2 linked regions of the Canis lupus familiaris genome follow. The protein of the gene in region 1 interacts with the protein of each later gene in a biochemical or structural test. Links are inferred from orthologs where the notes say so. Each region holds a gene or a part of one and is shown in the gene's direction. Other genes may lie near its edges.

Region 1 (3,649 bases):
TGAGCACCAGCAGTCCGGGCAGTAAGGCAGGGGAGGCTCCAGACAGCAGTGGCTGCAGCTCTCCGGCCCTCCTGGGCACCCCCCCTGCCCGAGGGAGCTGCACTAGCCAGAGAAAGTCCCGAGAGAGGTCCCCTCGGGCCAGCGTGCCGTCGAGCAGCAGGCCAAGCTTTTTGAACTCAGCTCTGTGGGACAATTGGGATGGAGAGGAACAGAAGTCTTCAGAGCTCCTTCCTCCCGCCCAGACACTGAGTGATGCTGCTGCTGCTCAGAAATCAGAAGGGTTGGAGACGCCAAGTGAGTAGCGGGGAGGGTGGTTGTCTGTTAGGCCGTTTTATGCTAAGGGGCTGGAGGGGGTGGCAGGGCTGTGGCGAGCCCCCTCCCCACCCTCCCCTGCAGAGGGAGAACAGGCTTGCCATCAGACATGTTGCTTAACCAGTTCCTAAACCTGCCTGGATCCCATGGCTTGCCTGGGCCCTTGCTAAAAACCCCCAGCTGTGGACAGTGCTTCTGAGAGGCCACGGCAAACACCTTAAAATCGGGCAAGTGTGGTTCCTCACAGGGTTACACGGAGCGCTGCCATTACGGCCCAGCAGTCCCACCCCAGGGAGCTCATCCAGAGGAGGGGAAATCAGGACTGATCCCTTACACAGACTTCGCAGCAGCAGTCCTCACAGTAGCCACAAGTCCATCAGCTGACAAACGGATAAAGAAAATGTGGTCCATACATATGGTGGAGGATCGTCAGCTGTAAAACAGGTGTTAGCTCCTGGGTGAACCTTGAACACACGATGCTCAGAGAGGCACAAAGGACCACAGCGTGTCACTGTGTTTATAGGGAATGTCCAGGGTGAGCCAGTCTGTGGAGACAAAGTGGGTGAGAAGTTGCCAGGAGCAGGGATCAGGGGAGAATGAGGAGGGTGCTGGGTATAGAACTGCCTTAGGAGACAATGAAAATGCTTTGGAGCTAGAGGTGGTGCTTGCATTGTGAATGTATACTAAGTGCCTCTGAATTGTTCACTTTAAAATTTTATGTGAATTTTCTTCTCAATTAAAACAGCAGCCAGTGGGGTGAGTGTGAAGCGTCTGCTGTGTGAGCCTCGGCCCTGCCTCATCTGCCACCCCCAAGCCCATGGAGGGTGCACTTTCCCAGCTCATGTCATTATAAGAGACTATCAGAGCCCCTGTGTCAGCCCCTGCCAGGCAGCCCCTGGGAAAGCTGGGAAGGGGCAGGGCGCCACGAAGCTGTGACTGGTCGCAGGGAAGCGGACTGTAGGCAGAGGATCTGCCTGCATCCTGGTGTTTGATTTCCTCCCCAAATTCAAAACCAGCTGGGCATGACTGACCAGCACTCCCAGCCTTGAATGGGGATCAGAACTGCCTGGAGAGCTTTGTGCAACACACGTGGCCAGGCGCCTCTCCAGAGTAGAGACCAAGAATTTGGATTTCTAACCAGTTCCCAGGTGGTGCTGTGAGACCAGGGACCTTGGTCTGAATTTGAGGTGGGCTTCCAGGAGGTGACAGATTTTCGCAAATTATATAAAGAGTTCTGTGCTTTATTCGGGAGAAAGCCTATTCTCATTGGAGTCTCAGAGGGCTCCATCCTCCTAAAAAGGATAAGAACCGAACTCTATATATTCCTGAGTTGTTTCATTTGTCTTTAAAGTATTGATTCCTTTTTTTAAAATAACAGCCTTGTTGAGCTATTATTCACATACCATAAAATTCACCCTTTAAAATACACCATTCAGTGGTTTTTAGTACATGGACACTGTCCTGCAATGGGGGGGTGGGGAGTCCATCACGGAAATGAAGGAGCAGCACGGCGACTACAGTCGTTGGTATCACAGCAGCGCATGGTGACAGATGGTAGCCACAAAACCACCAAACCATACAGTTCAGTGTTTTTTATTACCTTAGTAGTATTGGGCAACCATCACAGCTAATCCCAGAATGTTTTCCCCTGCCCATTAGCAGTCACTCGGTGCCCCTCCTCCTGAGCCCCCAACAGTCATGAATCTATCTGCTTCTGCCCTGTTCCACAGCATCAGCACTGCACAAGGCTGTGGCCCTAACCACGTGTGATGCCTTCCAATGGGAAGACAGTTCGGGAGTCTCGGTGAAGGGGCGGTGGAGGTACCGCTCTCATGGAGCAGAACGGTGGCTGGGCTTTGTTCAAACGCAGTATTTTTCTTGGTGATACTGCTGAGCTCAGAAGAGGTAAATCCAGGTCCCTCGTGCTGAAACATGTTTCTTTTCTACCTAGAAGGTGCTCATCGGAAGAACTTGCCCCCGAAAGTGCCCATCACCCCAATGCCAAGGTACTCCATCATGGAGACCCCGGTACTGAAGAAAGAACTGGATAGGTAAGTGGTCCTGAAAACTTGCCCACAGGTGGTCCACTCCCTCCCATGTGTCCATCCTGGCTGAGGCCAGGAGCTGAAGGACCCGCCGTGGGGCTCTGGCAGCAGGAGCCCCTGGGGGATGGGAGCGTGTGCAACTGCTGTCTTTCCCCACACTGTTCCCCAAACCTCCAGTTCCCTGAGGAGCTAAGAGATGGGACTCCAGGTCCCCATGAGCTGATAGGTCTCCATGTGCCATGTGGATGGAGACGGGGCCCTGGCCTTAAGAGCCTGAATAAGAAGATCTGATTTTTTAAAAAACCATCAAAACTGTCACATCCCAATCAATACTGCTCATCACCTTGGGCACCAGGGCTGTTATCACTACCACCATCGCTAAACCTGGGAACGGCTTTTCTGGAATATTCTTCAGAGTAAGCTCAGTTGTATGCAGAATAGACACCCCTGAAAGCTCACAAAAGTTAGGCATTTAAGATTTCAGTTCCACAAAGTCATTATTTAATTTGCTGATAACTGCTCTGTGCTGTTTCCCCATTTCAGGTTTGGGGTCCGCCCTCTACCCAAACGCCAGATGGTCCTAAAACTGAAGGAGATATTCCAGTATACTCACCAGACTCTGGAGTCAGACTCTGAGAATGAGAGCCAGTCCTCACAAGTGCTCCCAGAGGCTCCGTGCAGCCAGACCCACACCAGCAGGACCTCCAGGGCTGCTGGCCGTGCCCAGCTCGGGGCCACTTCTGGGCCTCTTCTCCAAAGGTCCAAGGGGTCCACTAAGACCAAGGGCCCCCGAAATCAAAAGCAGCAGCCTGGTGGAAGCATCCCTCCGATGAACCTGTCACAGGCAAAGGAGGAGTCTCCAGATCCTGATGGTGACACCCAGCTCCCTGTGTCCCAGGAATCAGTGGCCTCCTCCGTGGACAGCAGTGACAGCTCCTTTAGCTCACAAAGGTAACAAGATGGGAGGATGGGGTCAGTGGTGTCATAGGTCCCCTGACCATGGGATCCATGAGTTGGCATAAGCCAGGCCTGATGCCGACGTTGAGAAAGCCCATTGCCTTCTGGATTTAACCCAAGGAAAACCCAGTGGGGCTCAGGGCAGTCCCCTGTGAGCCTCCTGAGGAGACCGTTGGAGCACCTGGAGCACCATGTGCTCACCCCACCGGATGCTCTTGGGAGGGGGGCTGGCTGCGGTAGTCGACTGTGGCCGAGGGTCAGATCCTGCTCAGGCTGGCAGCTGGCATACCAAGGACACAGCAGCCTGGAGCTTCCTGCATACCTCGCCCCCCGAG
Region 2 (2,980 bases), on another chromosome or scaffold:
GGCCAAGGAGAAGCAGCAGAGACAGCCAGAGGCCAATGCAGGGCGCACCGTGTCCAGAGTAGATGTGGAAGAGGTAAGAACTTCACATTACCTGAGTCAGGCTGGGCTCCTACTCTCATCTAACCTGATTTGCTCTAGATGAGCAAGGTGCCAGCCAGTCATGCCTTTCTGCTTCAGCACCGGGTAGGAGAGAAAAGGCTAAGCAGGGAGCCAAGGGGCTGGGCTCTCTCTGGGTTTGGCTGGCAGGTGGGTGGGAGGAACCACAGACCAGTGTCCCTGCACCCCTCCAGCCCGTCCTGCTTTGGGGTCTCTAGGCATTGGTGGATCTACAGCTGTACACACAAGCCCAGGCCCGAATCGTGCAGAGCTGGAAAGAGCTGGCCAACTTCGCATGCGCGTTTACAAAGGCGGTGGCCGAAGCGCCTTTCAAGTGAGTGTGTCCCCAGCAAGTCTGGGCTCCGCTGCTGGGCCTTGGGCCATATAGCAGTTCTGGACCCACCTATGGTCTCTTTCCCCTGAACTTTGCCACCAGCCCGTTGTCTGCCAGGCTGGTGGCAGGAGTCAGCCCAGGCTGGGGATGCCTGTGAAGAGCCCTCAAGCCCAGTCCTTTTAAAATGTTCTGCGGTAGCTCATCTGTAAGTTCGTGTTCTGCAGGCTGGTGCTGGGTCACCAGTGAGCCAGGTTACTGGCTATCCCAGGTCAGGTAACGATGTAATAAGCCCTCATAAAACAAGCTTTTAGCCTACTCAGCTGTAGGAGTGTTTGTGGTCAAAATTTAAAATGAGTAGCGGACTTAAAGACAGTCCAGTCTGAGTCCATTTCATGCTTGGGGAATGGAGGCCTGAAGACTGCTTTGTCTGAGGTCCTAGCAAGTTAGAGGAACTGGAACCAGACTCTCAGATTGCCTGACACCTAGCCCCTAGTGGTTGTCCCTGTGCACACTGCCTCTCTAGTCAATACAGCGCAGTTTCAACATGTGAAACTACCTGGTTCTTTTCTGGCACATTGTGTCTTTATGAAAAGGACTTGATATCATTCTTAAGGGACACTGCTTGGGAACAAAATAAGCACTCACATAGACCAGATATGACACTGTGCCTGCCTCTCATGAGGTTGGTGGAGGGGTTTCTAAGTTCCCAGTGAAGGGGACAAGTGGAGTGACAAGTGACTCACAACTCTTCAACTGCTCTTTACAGGAAGTTCCGAGATCAAACTAGTTTTTCCTTCTGCCTGGAGAGTGACTGGGCTGGAGGGGCAAAGGTAGACCGTGCCGGCAGGGGGCTTGCACTGGTCTGGAGGAGGCAGATTCAGCAGCTGAACCGAGTCAGCCTGGAAATGGCCAGTGCCATTGTGGACACCTATCCATCCCCCCAGCTTCTAGTCCAGGTAGGCTGCTCCAGTGGTCACCTCCAACACCCTGTGGCATTAGTGGACTCCCAGGCAGTTTCCGTGGAGGGCACTCGTAGTCAGCACCACGGGCCTGCTGAGATCAGTGAACACAGACCCAGGGAGAGGACAGGTTCTCGTCCCCCCACCCAAGCTTACTGCCCCCTCGTTGATGGACAGGGTGACCCTGGATGATACAGTATTGAGAGGTCATTCACCACTTCCAGGCTTATAGACGGTGTCTTTTGGAGCAAGAACGCCAGAATCTGCTTGCAGACATACAGGTGCGCCGTGGGGAAGGTGTGACATCCACCTGCCGCCGCATTGGACCAGAGCTATCCAGGCGGATCTACCTTCAGATGACCACCCTGCAGCCAGATCTCTCTTTAGACACTGCAGACTGATGCCAGTCCTTGGGGACAGGGATGAAAAGCTGGAGATTTCTACCTCGCCCAGCTCAGAAGAGGACCACAGGAAGAGACTGGAAGCACTTCCTAAAGCACAAGCCTGGTCAGGCTCAAACATACTTCCTGGGTGTCCCATGTCTGCAGCAGTCCCCACCCCACCCCCAACACCTTGAGACAGACAGCTGAGATACTGGTGTTCCCCTTCCCAAGCCCCTAATGTCCCTCTCCCAGTGGAACTTGGCTGCCGTACACAAATCACCCTGCCCTAGCAGCCATCAAGACACAAATGAACAAAGACCGACCACTCAGACACGTATTTAATGATTGTAGAAATCCAGAAGAACCTCAGCTTCAAATCTTGAGATCACAAGTGAACTTCCCTCAGCAGGCTGGCTGGATGGGGCTGAGCATGCCCTGCCTTCCTCTCACCCACTGAGGCCACCTCAGCTGGCCCCTGTGCAGGGGTCTCCTCCCTATGCTAACTTCCCTGCCCTCTTTCATTTTACACACTATGTAGTTTCAATAAAGCATTTGTACCACTGGCTCTGGAGCTTGAAGGAAGACTGAGGAATGTGTAGTGATTCTGAGTAAGGTGTGGGCCATTGCAGCAGAGCTGCCAGGGGAGGGGGTTGGGGTGGGGGGGGAGAGAAATAAGTCACTCCCGGGATGGGGACAGTCACTAGGGGCTGTCCTCTCCAGATGAGCCACTAAGGCTCAGTCAAACCCCGCTCCCTGGCGATTTATGACAAGCTTTTGCTCTCCTGAGGGAGGGACAAGAAGCTTGCAGTTGGGAGTTTTCAGTGATTAAGCACCATGACGACCATTTCTCATTCCTTCATCTGGCTTTTGTGAAAAAAAGGCCAAGGAGGCCACAGAGCAAGAAAAGGCTTAGTCTGGCAGACAAGAGGATGGAGAGTCCTGCCCGTCTGTGCTAGTCGTTCGTAAACGCACCACTTTTAAGCTCCATGGTGCTATTTCCCTTCATTGTGGAGGTGGTTATAGGTCTAGACCTAAACAATTCTAAACCTCCAGCTCTGTGAAAGTTGAGTTTTCAGGTTGCCTCTGTCACACCAGCTACCCACAGCTGTCACAATATGGCTTTGACGGTCCACCTCCTTGTTTACTGGCAAGCGGGGAGTTAATGCTCTAAAAGTGAGGCAAGGAGCCCGGACCATTTTGTGAGAGCC

The links. The genes of interacting proteins can lie anywhere in the genome.
Region 2: the proteins of SLX4 (region 1) and EME1 form a complex in vitro, tested with the Homo sapiens proteins (3 studies listed by BioGRID, with this or other methods). The link is inferred for Canis lupus familiaris from reciprocal best matches to the Homo sapiens genes SLX4 and EME1.

What each region holds. Positions count from the first base shown.
Region 1 is NC_049227.1:37,963,565-37,967,213, forward strand, and holds part of SLX4 (structure-specific endonuclease subunit SLX4), read left to right. Parts: coding exon 1-294; exon of another isoform or gene 295-1,053; intron 1,054-2,263; coding exon 2,264-2,363; intron 2,364-2,900; coding exon 2,901-3,308; intron 3,309-3,649. UniProt on the Homo sapiens protein: Regulatory subunit that interacts with and increases the activity of different structure-specific endonucleases.
Region 2 is NC_049230.1:26,299,108-26,302,087, forward strand, and holds the end of EME1 (crossover junction endonuclease EME1), read left to right. Parts: coding exon 1-73; intron 74-314; coding exon 315-430; intron 431-1,196; coding exon 1,197-1,386; intron 1,387-1,613; coding exon 1,614-1,790; 3' UTR 1,791-2,356; downstream 2,357-2,980. UniProt on the Homo sapiens protein: Non-catalytic subunit of the structure-specific, heterodimeric DNA endonuclease MUS81-EME1 which is involved in the maintenance of genome stability. In the complex, EME1 is required for DNA cleavage, participating in DNA recognition and bending.